Diceros bicornis minor: one gene and its partner. The protein of the gene in region 2 binds, or shares a complex with, the protein of the main gene of each other region. Links are inferred from orthologs where the notes say so. Each region holds a gene or a part of one and is shown on either strand. Other genes may lie near its edges.

What was found. The genes of interacting proteins can lie anywhere in the genome.
Region 1: CPSF3 (region 2) and CPSF4 share a complex: the UniProt entries of both Homo sapiens proteins name them as parts of the cleavage and polyadenylation specificity factor (CPSF) complex. The link is inferred for Diceros bicornis minor from reciprocal best matches to the Homo sapiens genes CPSF3 and CPSF4.

The regions. Positions count from the first base shown.
Region 1 is NC_080765.1:7,260,087-7,267,329, forward strand, and holds the start of CPSF4 (cleavage and polyadenylation specificity factor subunit 4), read right to left. Parts: upstream 3,008-7,243; 5' UTR 2,892-3,007; coding exon 2,789-2,891; intron 1-2,788. Other genes in the region: PTCD1 (pentatricopeptide repeat-containing protein 1, mitochondrial), read left to right, coding at 4,421-5,065, 7,161-7,243. UniProt on the Homo sapiens protein: Component of the cleavage and polyadenylation specificity factor (CPSF) complex that play a key role in pre-mRNA 3'-end formation, recognizing the AAUAAA signal sequence and interacting with poly(A) polymerase and other factors to bring about cleavage and poly(A) addition.
Region 2 is NC_080751.1:70,609,489-70,616,732, forward strand, and holds the start of CPSF3 (cleavage and polyadenylation specificity factor subunit 3), read right to left. Parts: upstream 3,016-7,244; 5' UTR 2,539-3,015; coding exon 2,468-2,538; intron 520-2,467; coding exon 456-519; intron 1-455. UniProt on the Homo sapiens protein: Component of the cleavage and polyadenylation specificity factor (CPSF) complex that plays a key role in pre-mRNA 3'-end formation, recognizing the AAUAAA signal sequence and interacting with poly(A) polymerase and other factors to bring about cleavage and poly(A) addition.

The sequences.
Region 1 (7,243 bases), on a different chromosome or scaffold from region 2:
AGCTTATTTCAGCCATTCCCTGCAAAATGAGACATATACATTGAGACCAGTCATTACTCCATGCTTTCTGAAAGCCTTCTATAAGCAAGACGCTTTCAGGGAGTTACAAGTGGGTGGGAGAGGGAAGGATGGAGCACAAGATCACAGAAATTAATTACCCCTAGCTCGGACCTTCCAGAGGGCTAATTCACCGGCACTTTAACGTGAGGCAGGAAGCACAAAAAAGCAAATGGGGACTCTGAGGAGGGACAGGCTGCAGAGAAGAGGCGAGTGCCTCGGAGACGCTATTCTGAAAGGAAAAGCATAATTTAAGACACAGAAGGGGCCGGCCGGGTGGCGTAGCGGTTAAGTGCGCGCGCTCCGCTGCTGGCGGCCCAGGTTCGGATCCCGGGCGCGTACCGACGCACCGATTGGCAAGTCATGCTGTGGCGGCATCCCATATAAAGTGGAGGAAGATGGGCACGGATGTTAGCCCAGGGCCAGTCTTCCTCAGCAAAAAGAGGAGGACTGGCAGATGTTAGCTCAGGGCTGATCTTCCTCACCAAAAAAAAAAAAAAAAAAAAAAAAGACACAGAAGCAGGACTGCTCTTAATATGCAACATCAACACACAATTATTAAAGGAGCACAGTCTCTTGCTTACACAGATGCAGCCGGTTCAGGAGAGGGGTACAGGAGAATAAAAGCTGAACATGGTAGAAGTCAGTGGGCTCCAGGAGTAAGCTGTTCTAACGACACCAGAAATTCACCTGCCATGGCTACCAGAATAAACTGTCGTGGCTTCAAAAACAGTTTTCTCTATCAGCAGGCATTTTAGAATGGCTGAAAACCCACTGACAGCATCTCTGAAGGCCATTTACGTGCCTCTCCTTGCTAACTTGCACGAGATTCCTTGGCTTCTTAGAAGCAGGCAGATTTTGCTAGGACAGACTTAAGGTTGTAGAACTGGGAGTCATAACACTGTCATTCATTTGCATTTCAAAAAGTCTAAAAAGTCTTACACTAAAAAATGTATCACTTAAGAGTATTTCTGGGCCTTCGTTCTTTTCAGAGATTAAGGTTGCTTCATTACTTAAAGCCAGAAGTCTAGTGGTTTCAGGCGGACAGGATAAAAGAGCATGCCTTGAGGGCAGAACTGACAGCTCTTCCCAAAACTAAGACAGGAATGAAGTGCAGGGACAAGGGAGGAAGGGCTGTGGCCGCCCTGGGCTTTAACACAATGAACTCAATCTGAGGGCAGGCAGTGAGTGCTGAGGGCACCTACCAAGTCTGAGGTGGGAGGCTAGGGCCATGAGGCGGGAGGCTAGGGCCACACGCATGGCTAGGCTGTCCTTGACCCTCCCTAAGAATAGGTGTGTGGGCCCCTCGCCACTGTGCCTGCCCTCACAGACTCAAGTATCTGTGGTCCCAGGCTGAAAAAAGGTGGGAGGGAAAGAGCTGCCCTGCATGGACCTTCCATGGTCTCAAGCTAGTGCCACCAACACAGGAAAAGGCCACGTGTGCCCAAGTGGATGTACGTGTACAAGCATGAGGTGATCACATGCATCGAAGGGTAGATAAATAAGTGTGTATTTGAATTTGAGCAGTTCCTTATAAGACATGCACAGTGGAGATGGTGCTTGTGCACATATAAAATAAGGTTGTTTGAGGTATGTCTCTTGGGTATAAGCAACATCTCACACAGAAGTGTCAGCATGAGGGGGACACCTGAGGCCATGTGTGCAGAAGTGCACTTGAGGGGAATAAGGCTGCAGGGAGTCTCTACCAGACCAGGGACCGGTGGTTGAACACGGGCCAAAGTCCACTGGCAGCTATGTGAGACAGCACAGGGAACTGCAAACAGAACCAGTCAAGAACTCTGGAGAGCTTACCCAGCTCCCCAGGCACTGAGTGGTTTTCAGCCAGTCCCTTCCCCCACCCAGGCCTCAGTTGCCCCACCTGTGGATTGAACTCAGCGACTTCTAAGAGCCCTCTGAGCTTTAATGTTATAGCGTCAGACATCAACTGTATCCGCAAAGGTGAGAAGACAGGAAAACTGCTGGTTTCTTTTAAAGTCCTAGACATCCCACCTAAGTGAGGGCGTGGGGGAAGCAGGAGCCACCATGTGAAGGAGAATGGAGGGAGCCCAGGCAACTGCCCAGGTGTCATGAATGACCCAGAGTTGGGGTCCAGAGAAAAAGTGGGGATAGGCTCCCAGAAGTGCGAGTCCTAGGAGAGGAATGGAGCTTGAGAGTCTAACTGTGGGTCTCCGACAGAGAGGGAGAGGTGGTCCTTCCCTCAGCATGAGTCATCCAATATCCCAATTGGGATGAAAACAAGAGGAGGGCGCTCAAAGCTGGGGGGGGCTGGAGGTGGGAAAGGGGGCTATCTTAGTACTTTCCTGTAGTTAGGGGGAGGAGGGAGTAACTGCCAATCCGAGATAGCCGCCTTCATTCAAGAATTCTTTGAACAAGAGGACATGGTCCTGCTCTCCTTAAGATTGCCTTTTAAGAGCCCAGAGGATCGACGATCCGAGGAAACGGCTCTGGAGTCCGAGTGCAGGAAGAAGGGGATCCCAGGACCGGGGGGAAAGGACCCCCGGGACCGAAGGGGAAGAGCTCCCGAACCCGGGGGGAAGGCGTCCCGGAACCCAGAGAAGGGGATGCTGGGACCAAGAAGAAGGTCCCGAACCGAGGGGGAGGACATCCCGGAGCCCAGAGGACGGGCTCCTAGGACTGAGAGGGTCCCGGGACCGAGTCGGTCGCGCCCCTCGCCCGCCGGCCCCGGCCCCGGCCCCGGCCCCGCGCTCACTGTCCATGCCGGGAAAGGGCAGCGGCTGCGCCCCGAGCTGCTGCTCCACCGCGATCTCCAAGTCGAACTTGATGTGGTCCACGCTGGCGATGATTTCCTGCATGGCGGCGGCGGCGGCCCCACCGGCCCGGCTCCCCTTCAGGTCCCTCGCCGCGCTCACACCTCTGCCTTCCGCCGGCCCGGCCGCACACGCTCCGCCACCGCCTCCCCTCGCCTCGCCTCGCCGCCGCCGCCGCCGCCGCCGCCACCGCTGCCCGAGGGATGCCGGGAGCGCCTGGAGCCCGCGCCTGCCCGTCGCCCGTCCAGACCGGGCCAATCGAGCGCGGAGTACGGGCCGCTCCGCTAGGCCCGGCTAGCCGCCAGCCGAACGCCCGCCTGTCCTCTGGGCCGCGGGTAACCTGAAACCACGTGCACGGGGAGTTCGTGACGCGGGCTGCGCTTGCGCGAAGTCGCCTGGGGCGCGCACCAGAGGTGGCGGGGAAGGAGAGTAGGCTCTGCGGCGCGGCGAGGCTGGGACGCCACTGGGGGTGACGCGAGGCCGGGCGGGGAGCGAGGCGGTGCCGGGCGGGCGTGGGGCCGCGTTCACTGGGCCGGACTCTTCGAGCGAGTTGCTATTTGATCCGGAGCCCGGGACCTGGGCGGGGACAGGCCAGAGAGGTAGCGAGTTTCGCAGCCGGGGTCGGAGCCGGGGGCGCCCGGTGAGGAAACCAAGGCTCTGAAGGCCAGTGTGGACAGGGGTCCCGGTGGCCTGAGGGTCCGGGGAGCGTCGGCGGGCAGCGGGTACCCAGAGGAAGGACAGCGGCAGCGTGCCTCTAATTCAGGGGTTATTAGTCTGGGCAGGTTAATGAACTTGGGTAGGAAGAAAATGACACCTTTATTTTCTCTGTGTGAAATGGAGCATTGCTTTCCGTGACTGACGGACGAGTAGCGTTAGCTGTGCCCGAAATTAAGTCGTGATTTCAAGTGGGGACGAGTGCAAATGATAGTTGGAGACAGAGTATCTGCAGCCACTGCAAGCTGTCATTTACACTCAGCACTGCTTTGACATGATGGGGTCTTGTTATTTAATGCCTTGAAAAAGAAGCACGGGGCCCGCCCCCGTGGCTTAGCGGTTAAGTGGGTGCGCTCTGCTGCTGGCGGCCCGGGTTCGGACCTCGGGCTCGCATCGCCGCACCGCTTCTCCGGCCATGCTGAGGCGGTGTCCCACATACAGCAACTAGAAGGATGTGCAACTATGACGTACAACTATCTACTGGGGCTTTGGGGGAAAAATAAATAAATAAATAAGAAAAAGAAGCATGTATACTAGTATGCTATAAGTTTGTCTTTAAAACATTTTGATACTTATTTCAACATCATATTTGAATGAGGCACAGGGAGATCAAGTAATGGGCCCAGTCACAGCTCTGGCCAGGACTCAAACTCAGATCTGGCTTCAGTGACAGATGTCGTAGATCATGGCTTGAGAATAGTTTCTGTCCGTGGACTGCTTACTGTGCCAGCAGTGTACTGCACTGTGTATATCTGAGACCTCGTTCAGTCATTGCTACAGTGCTGTGTGGGCAACGTTGTAGTTAACCCCAGTTTACAGGCAAGGAGGCTGAGGCCAGAGCAGTGAGTGCCCAGGGACTCATGGATGGTTGTTTGGCAGAGCTGCAGTCTGAACCTAGGCTTTCTAATCTCGGTCTGGGCTTGTCACCACTTCTCTGTCTTCTTTCTGCTTTTTGTGACTGCGATCCTGAGTTGACTTCATTATTTTTTCTGACCTTTGTCAGGCCCTGGAGGGGAAAGCCAGAGATGGACCTCGTGAAACTTGCCCAGCTCTTCTCCCGCCCCCACCCCGTGGGACTGTCTCTCCTGCAACACCTTGACCCTCTCAGAGCCAGGTGGGCAGGAGGCAGGAAGAGGCCTGCATGGCTGAGGGCCGTGGGGCTGACTCGGCCAGCGCCAGCAGCCTTCAGCAGCTCCCTCTCTCAGCTGCCCGTGGGCCAGGGGAGCCAGAAGAACACGGGCAGCCTCAGCTCTGACCCCAGCCAGCCCAGCCCCACAGCCACCCAGGAGGAAGACGGGGAGGAAAGCTTTGGGACCCTCTCCGACAAATACTCCTCCCGGAGAATGTTCCGCAAATCGACGGCCCAGTTGTATAACCTGCGGCTCAGGGAACAGAGTGTTGAAGAAGACGAGGCAAGGGAGCTGGAGCCAAAATCATGGCGGGGCCGAAGAAACACCCCTTACTGGTACTTCTTTCAGTGCAAACACCTGATCAAGGAAGGGAAGGTGAGGGAACCTGTGGATTCTGCTGCTCCTGGCTCCTACTTGCCCATGGCTCGGTATTCTGTGAGGGGCCCTGCCTTCCCGATCTCTGAATGTTGGGGTGCTCAGGGCTCTTCTCTCCTCTGTCTTCACTCACCCCAGGTACTGCGCCGGGTGACCCGCCAGCCTCCTGGCTTTCAGTGCCAGCCTCCTCACTGCAGTTCTGGTATTTGTATCTCCAGCCTGGCCTTCCCGTGGACTCCTGATCTGTGTATCCAGCTACCTCCTCGCCATCTCTCTTACACCCACCTACATCCACCGAGATTGTTTTTCCCAACCTTGTTTTCCCTATACTTTCTTCATCTCACTGAATAGCAATCCCACTGTTGCATCTGCCCAGGCCAAATACCTTCAGGTCACCCCTACTCTTCTCTTTCTCTCACTGGCTCTAGCTTCAAAATGTCACCAGTCCTAACGCTTCTCATGACCCTACCCCAGAACACCCAGGCATAGCCTTCTCCTCGCCCTCCTCAGCTGTTACAACGCATGGCACTGGGCTCCCCGAGGCTCTCTCCTCCTCTTGCCCCGCCGTCAGCTGGCAGCACGGAGTCATCCTGTTAAAGCAGAAAGCAGATAATGTTACTCTTCTCTCCAGAACTCCCAGTGTATTCAGTGACATCGATGATGTTCACTTTCTTAGATATTGATAATGACATTCCGTTTCTATTTAAAAATCTCTTGGAGGTATGTGTTGAAGATTTTATGAATGAAATGATAGAATGTCTGGAATTTGCCTTAAAAAATACAGTTTGGGGGAGAGTGCAGGGTATAAATGAAACAAGATTGGCCAAACTTTATCATTGTACACTCTTCTTCACCATCTTATACTCTTCTTTCTACTTTTGTGTATGTTTAAAATTTTCCATAATGAAAAGTTGAGAAGTAAACAAAGAGAAGCCAAAGTCCTCACAATGGCTTATGAAGGCTGCAGGATCTGCCCTCCACACCCCTTATCTCTCTGCTCTCATCCCCTCTGCCTCACTTACTCTGCTGCAGCCACCTCAGCCTCCTCTCTGCTCCTCCAACTCCTAGGCACACTTCTGCCTCAGGGCCTTTGCACTGGCTGTTCCCTCAGATAGCCATATGGCTCCTTCCCTGGCCTCCTTCAGATCTTTGCTCATCTGTCAACTTCTGGGTGAGGCCCTGCTTGGCTGTCGTATCTAAAACTGAATCTCCCACACCCTTCTTCTGACACTTTTTGCTTTATTTTTTACATAGCACCTATCACCATTTGACATAGTATATATTTTTCTTAGTTATCTCATTTGGCGTCTGTCTTTCCACGCTAGAAGATGTACTCTATGAGGGAGCTCCCTCTTGCTCACTGCTGTATCCCCAGCATATAGACCTTGTCTGGTACCTAATAGGACTCAGTGATTACTGGTTGAATGAATGGATGAAATAAGATAATTAAGTGGTAAAGGAGTGAACTGAGGCTTTAAAGGGGATGGTGTAGGAGTAGGGATGGGGCAAAGACTACTGTGGGCCAAAGGGGTTTGCAATTGGAGGAAGCTAGTGACACAGGGCTGCCATCCTGTGCCATCTCAGGAGACTGTCGCTGTGATCGTGTCACAGCCCCCTGTGATCGTGCAGCACAGTGGCTCTGAGCATCCCTACTAAATGACTGGAACCCAGACTCCCATCAGTTCAGAGCCAGGGGGCTGGCACTGCAGGTGGGGTCACCGAGGAAGCAAGGGCAGGCAGATCCTGGGAGTCACAGAATTAACATTTTCTGAGGAGTTACTAAGTGCCAGGCCCTGGCTCCACTCGAGAGCCACAGAGATGCAAAGACATGGCCCCTGCTCTCAAGGAGTTCACTGTCCTGCTAGAGGGAAGGCAGCCGTGGCAGTAGGGCCGAGAGCTCCTCTAGGTGGTGGGTGTCCAGTGGGCTTTTCTTCCTGGCCACCACGAAGCTCCCTTGCTGCAGAGCACAGGGTGTTTGGCTCCTGGGTAGGCCTGGTCTTGGCCCCAGGGGAGGGTACCTCAGCCTCAGTCTCCCTCTCTTGGCTGAGGTTCTCTGAGGCCACCCTGAGCCCCCTCTTATGTTCCCCCCGCACAGCTGGCTGAGGCCCTGGACCTGTTTGAGAGGCAGATGCTGAAGGAAGAGCGACTCCAGCCCCTTGAGTGCAACTACACAGTGCT
Region 2 (7,244 bases):
TTCTAATCACTCCATCTTTCAGATAAGGAAATGGGCTCACACTGCCTTGCCCAAAGTCAGAGGCCCTAATGCTAACTTAGGTAGCTAAGCTGCCAAACCAGGGCTCTATCATCACATGCTGCACTGGGGTGGCTGGAGCTCTGCATGTTTTGGGGCAGCCAGTTCCTTGAGGCCTTCCACTGCAGGTGGGGCGGTTAGGTTGGCTAGACCCTCCAAGAGTTGAAGAAGCAACAGTTCAGGAGAGAATCTTGGAATATATCTTCTCGGTTTACTTAACGTTTTGTCAAATTACTAAGTAGAAGTGTGCATTAGTTTTTCACATTAACATCACAGACTATGTATACCAACTATGACACTATTCTGGGAGCTAAACAGATAACTACTGTACTAGAAAAAACCTAACACCCAATGCTGACAGAGCCATACTGTTAACCTGACTACAAAATAATAATTACCATTATTTTTCTTCCTTTGAATTCCAGAATAATACATGATCTTCCTACTTCTTGCCCAGCTCCACTGTAAACATTCAAGGGGAGAAACAGAAATGAGTACAAAACAATCAAAATCAAGGCCAATAAATTCAAACTTTTTTACAACTTAAATTATGCCCCATTTGATGACAGCACTTGAGGCCGATGAGAGTTATACAAAAATACAAAGACAGGGAAGAACATGTCAATGTGGGAAAAGATGAAAAGTGATCTTTGGGAGTTCAGGGATTTTTCAGTTGTTAAAACTGAGAGAAGATGGTACAGATCCGAGAAATCTGATGGTTAAATTCAATCTTCTGAATGTTAGGGTTAATTATGCTGTATTCAAAATATAAGTTAGCAGTGATACACGATTATTTAATAATACTTTTAGAATTAGCACTGAAGTATAAACCCATAAGCACTTCAAAATTCTTTCATTTTCTTTAATATCCTAATATGCATTTACCAAATAGCTTAAATTTAAATAGACTTATCTTATTCATACCTGTGAATCTCATTCCCTTTCCTTTCTACTTTCTGTTATTTCGTATATTTGATACCAAGCACTTAAACAATCTTCCTTCCTTCTTAAATTAATATAACAGCCTTAATTTCCAATTATCACAAGACTTTAAGCTAAACCTCACCTGGTTTTCAAATCTCTCACCTCCGTTGATGTCTTTCCCCAACTATTCTAGGTTGAGTCACTCACTCATGCAACATTAAGCAGCTTCTATTTGCCAAGCACTGTATTAAGTGCTGAGCATATGGAAATGCCTAATACTAGGATCCTGGCCTCAAGAAACTCACAGTCTACTAGGAGATAGACATGAAAAGAGATCTACCCTCAAACCGAGGTCCTACCTCTGAAGAAGATGTAAACAAAGAGAATCAAACAGCCATAGTGCTATCACGAATTCCTGGCCTTCCATTTTTTTTTTTTTAATTTTATTTATTTATTTCTTCCTCCCACGCCCCCAAAGCCCCAGTAGATAGTTGTATGTCATAGCTGCACATCCTTCTAGTTGCTGTATGTGGGACGTGGCCTCAGCATGGCCGGAGAAGCAGTGTGTCGGTGCGCGCCCGGGATCTGGACCCGGGCCGCCAGCAGCGGAGCGTGTGCACTTAACCGCTAAGCCACGGGGCCGGCCCATGGCCTTCCATTTTAACTGGCCCTCTATGCACCCTCTGAAGCGTCCCTAGCTCAGTTTTCTTTTATAGTTTCCATAGTAACGATTTCAAGCTTCCTCCCCTTTCCTAAATTTTCCAATCCTCTATCTTCTTCTTCACTTGGGGCATGGACCTTCTCTGCATCAAAAAAATATAGTTCGTTTGTCAACTTCCTCAACTTTACTTACCAACCCACCCACATCTTTTCTCCTTCCATTTCTCCTGTAACAAGAGCACAGACCTCTCTGTCTAAAGCTAATCTTTTCACCATGGTTCTACACTCTATACACTCCCTCCTGAGGAACTGAACACTGCCATATCATCAACATTTCCCTTGCCATCTTCTCTTTACTATCAGAATTTAAACATGCTACAGTCATTCTCATCCCCACATTAAAATCCCTTAATTCTAATCTCCTTTAGTTCCCACTTTATTCCATTTCCCAGTTTGCTTCCTAAAAGAGCTGTGTACACTCTTTGCCTCTATGTCCTCACCTCCACTCACTCAGTTCACTGCAATCTGGCTTTTCCCAAACACTCCTCCGCGCGCCCAGGATCCGAACCTGTGAACCCCGGGCTGCTGAAGTGGGGCGCAAGAACTTAACCGCTACGCCACCAGGCAGGCCCCCAAAGCAGCTCTTTGTTGCTAAGTACAAACAGCCTTTTTCAGTCCCTCTCTTACTTCTTCTCTTGGCCGCCTGTCACCCTCATTCATCATTCCCTCTTTAAGCACTTCTCCATTGGTTTCTCTGACTTCTTGCTCTCATCCTGTCCTGCTGGTCTTCCTCCAGTTTCCTTCACACTCAGCTGTCTCTGCCCACCCTTCAGATGTTGATATTCCAAAGGTTCTCTCCTTGGCCCTCTTCTCAGTCTTCGTGATCTTCATTCTCATGTTTTTGACATGCTGATGATTTCCAAGTCTGTATTTGTAGCCCTCATTGTTCTTCTGAATTCTAGACCTCTAATCTACACCTGGGCTTTAGGTATCTCTCCTGGGATATCTCACAGGCACCTTAACTTCAAATACGCCCAACCAATCCCCTGCACTTGCTCTTCTACCTTCCTGCAATGCTCTGCCCTCAGATACTGACATGATTGGCTCCTTTGTATCATTTGGGTCTCAGTCCAAATGTCACCTTCTCAGAGGCCTTCTCTTGACTACCTCCTCTCATTTGCCCTTCACACCATTCAATCATAACACAACTACATGGAGTTATTGTATCTACCTATTTATGGCTTGTTTTTCACTATTAAAACGAAAGCTCCATAAGAGCAGAGACACTGTCTATTTTGTTCACCCTACTTATAGCTACAGTGCCTGACATGCAGTAAATCTCAAGAAATACTTATTGAATGAGTAAAAAAGTCCAAATTATGAACGTTGGAAACATGCTAAGTGAAAGAAGCCAGTAACAGAAGGTTACATACTGTAACCCATTTATATGAAATGTCCACAACAGGCAGATCTGCAGAGATGGAAAGTAGATTAGTGGTTGCCTAGAGCTAGGGAAGGCGAGGAAGATAGGTGTGACTGCTAATGGGTACCGGGTTTCTTTTCAGAATGATGAAAATGTTCTGGAATTAGACAGTGGTAATGACTGTAAAACTCTGTGTATATATTAAAAACCACTGAATTGTACACTTTAAATGAGTAAGTTGTATGTGACATATCTTAATAAGGCTGTTAAAAACAACAAAACTCCCAAATTTCCTCCAGACTTGCCCCATCTCCTGTACTCCTTAAGGGAATAACATGACCACGTACCAGTTGCCTACCTAGGAATCCGAGTCACCCTAACATTCCTCTCTGCCCTGCCTTCCCTCCCAACTGCCCCTTCCAATGCATCTGATCAGTTACAAAGTTCTAAAGGTTTCACTTCCCTACTCTCTCAAACCTGTTTCTTTCTATTCCACTGTTGCTCATTTCACTCATTCCAAGCTCTCACTGCTTATTATTTCAATTTCATCCTACTGGATTCCCTCCACTTAATCCACCCTTTCATTCATCTGCTGCACTGCTGCTAGGAGTGATCTTTGATCTTCATAAAACATAATTCCCACTATATCCCAACCCTGCTTAAAATCCTTTGTTGGCTCCATACACCTGACGATAAAGGCCTCAAATCCTTAGTACATATAAAAAAAGCCCTTCATAAGATGGACCCTGATAGCCTCTCCACCTCATCTGCTAATCTTTCAGCCACAGCCATGAGGAAACTCGCCACAAACTGTGACCACTCTCATTTTCACACGTGCCACTTCCTCTACTGGAACATCCTTGCCCCCACACTTTACCCGTCCTTAATTCCTTCTCATTCTTTAGGACTCAGCTCACGCATCATATTTTCCAGGACGCATGAGATGGCATTTTCTTCTCCTCATTCTGTTAGAAATCCGTTTTTCACACTCTCACGGCACTCAGTGCAACGTCCATCTATACTCTTATAACAGTTACCATTTACTGAGCACCGACGTGACCTTTACCCCTCACAATAAACGTTGCTATATTATTTTCACGTGAGGAAACAGGTTCAGTGAGGCTGCTGTCCTAGTAAGTGATAGAGCTGGGACTGGACTTCAGCTCTGACTCCAAAGTCATGCTCTCCTACTATTCCAAACTCTCTCCAGTACTTTTCATTTTGCACCGCAATTCCATTCAAAGGGTGAATCCAACTAACTCAGCCTCTGTCCTACTTATATCCCCAGCGCCTAGTGTGGTGCTTGACACTTGCTGGGTGTTTGCTGAACACAGGGAGAGGTGACAGGTGTGAACTAAGCAGTGGGAAACTTGTGTTATGTCCCCAGGAGGTGCTCAATGAGTCCTTATTGAATGAACGTGTAAAGGAGATGCTTCCTACCTTTTGAAAATGCACATTCATGTGGTGCCAACTAATATTTAACAACAAACACGTTTGTGGATTCGAATTGCCCATGGAGAGGCTAAGTTCTCCACATTTATCTCCCTTTCTCAGCAGCATTCCAGATCTGTGAAGTGCTCCCGACAGAAGGCCATCTCCATGGAAAGACCAGCCTTCTTCCAGACAATCCAGGGCTGAGTTTTTGTCCTTACCACCTCTGCTCTTCTCTCCAACCTTCTACCTTCCTTATTCTGCTAGACTCCGAAGTCAGAACATCAAAACTCATAGCAAATCCCTAATTTATTTCCTCTCTCACATCCTGGCAAATGTAAAAAGTCCTGGAGGTAGCAAGCAACAGACTGAGTTCCTCCTCGCACTGCTACAGCCTTATCCAGGTCCTCATCTCGTCCTGCCGTCATCAGCAGCACCGGTTCCCTCAGGGCTGGCCACTCTCTAGGTACAGGCGTCCAGGGCCCCAAAGACCGCCCCCCAACTCCAACATTCTCTCCCCTGAGCTTGAAGAAAAGCAAAATCCCAGTCAACCTAGCACGCCCCTTCCGATCAACAGATCTCCAAACCCCGTCAGCCAGGCTGCGGACCAAGGGCAGGCGGCCGAGGCACGCCGGCGCGGGGGCGACTGAGGAGCCAACCACCGGGTTACTCCTCGCCTCTCGCAGCCCGCGGCTTGCTGCCCTCTCTCACTGGTCCCTTACAGGGGGCGGATCAGCAGCTGGTCACTCTCTTCAGCAGGGATCGCAGACATCTCGGAAGTCTGAAGGAGAGACTAGGCGAGGAACAGGTCGCTGGAGCGTTCCTAAATTGGAAGCACAGCCACCGGGACCCGCAGACAGAACGCCATCCACCAAGAACACAACTTCCGGCACTCCGGCGCCCGCGGCACTAGGCTCCTCCCCTCCACTTCCGGTCGGAGATCCCCGCTCGCGAGGTTCCGCCCCACAGGAGGTCAGAAACCTGGGGCGAGGTCAAGACTGCGCCTGCGTGACGTGCCGGAGGCGGGGCCTGGCGGTAGGGGCCAGGGGGCCCGGAAAAGCTGGCGCTGGACTAAGCACTGGAATGGCTGCTGCGACGGCTGCTGCTGGGGCGGTGGGTGTCTGACCCCGACCGCAGACGACCCCAGGGATGGGCCAGCGGCTGTGAGGTGAGAGCCCTGCCCTCGCTGCGCCCTGGCGGAGCCTGGCCGGGAACGCGGGCCCCGAGGGCGACGCCGGCGGGGAGGCCCGCGGTGGGGCGGATGGGTGGGGCCGCGGGGGCCGCGGTCTCCGCGGGGACCCGCCCTCCTCTGGTCGGGGACCCAGGCCCCGAGGCGGCTTGGGGTGGGCGGCGGGAGCCGAGAGTGGGCCCGGCCTGAGAGAGGAGGCAGTGCCCCGGTGCCGATTCCTGTCTGGGGTGGGACCGCAGCACCTGTGACGACGGATGTCGTGTGCGGAGCGGCCCCGTGGGAAGGGCGACGGGAATGGGGCATCCGCGGGGCTGCTGCCCGTGTCGGGCTCTGCCTTGTGGGGCGGTGAGGAGCGCTCACTTTTTGTGCCGGCTCCTGTTGGTTTTCCCTCCGCGTCCACCCCCATCCCTCACTGCAGAGGGCAGAGGTCATGTCTGTCCTGTTTACTGTCATCCTGCGCAGCAGCACGTGGGAGGCGCTCACAACAGTGAGGAATACGTGGGGAGCAGGGTGGGCTCTGGAAAGAGCTTTGGAGCTAGTCTGTGTAGGTTCCAGACTTGGTCCCACCCATTATTAGCTTGGAGACCTTGGGCGAGTCCCTTAATCTCGTAGCTTTGGCTTCCTTATTGAAAGGGGCTGTAATAGGGTAGCCTTGCCGGTCTGCAGTAGAAGGGTTAGAGGTGCACAGTAGAGCACCTACACTGGGCTGCACATGCAGCTGTTCAGTGCAGGGGAGTTGTTATTTTCGTGTCATCTCCCAAGAAGGTTCTCCAGTTCACTAAGCATGTCCTCTGCCAGACTGTGCCAGGCGTTGGGTACACAGAGATGAATAACCTTGCTGCTGCCTTTGACGAGCTCACAGTTCATAGAGTGAGATAGTCACAAGTAGACAATAGCAGACTTTCCAGTGTGTGCTATGATATGCTATGATCAGGGTGTATACCCAAGCTGTGGAGGACAGGTCCCTAAGCCCAACCTGGAGGTCCAAGGGGGGCGTTCTAGAAGAGAAGAAGCCTGAACTGAGTCTTGAAAGCAGAGTGAATGCAAGGTGGAAGGAGATTCCAGGCAGAGTGAACGGCGAGAGCAAAGCATGGCAGCATAGAGCATAGTGCCTGCTGAGAACCTCCAGCAGCTTGGCATTCCTTAGAGATTAATCAGGTGTGAAGCTGGTTGTGAGACTGGAGAGGTAGGTAGGAGCCGGGTCATGGAGGATCTTGTGTGTCCTGGTGAAGAGGTTTTGACTTCAGTCTCTAACTTTGGGGAGCCAGCGAAAGATTTTAAGCAGGTTGGCGGCGTCAGATTTGAGTTTTAAAGAAATCATTTTAGCTGGAGCTTGGTAGTAGATTTAAAGGGGCAAGGAGTCCAGTTGGGACATGAATGCCTTAAATTGCATGCCAGACTTTGTGCTTGTGTGCATTTTTATGGGTTGAGGATCCACTGCTTTCTTCAGATAATGAACAAGTATTTATATACAGCAATGGTCTAGTGATGATGCCGGGGCCCTGTTAGAGACGTGGGTGAGAGAACTCTTCAGGCGGTGTATTCAGTGAGTTTTGGTGC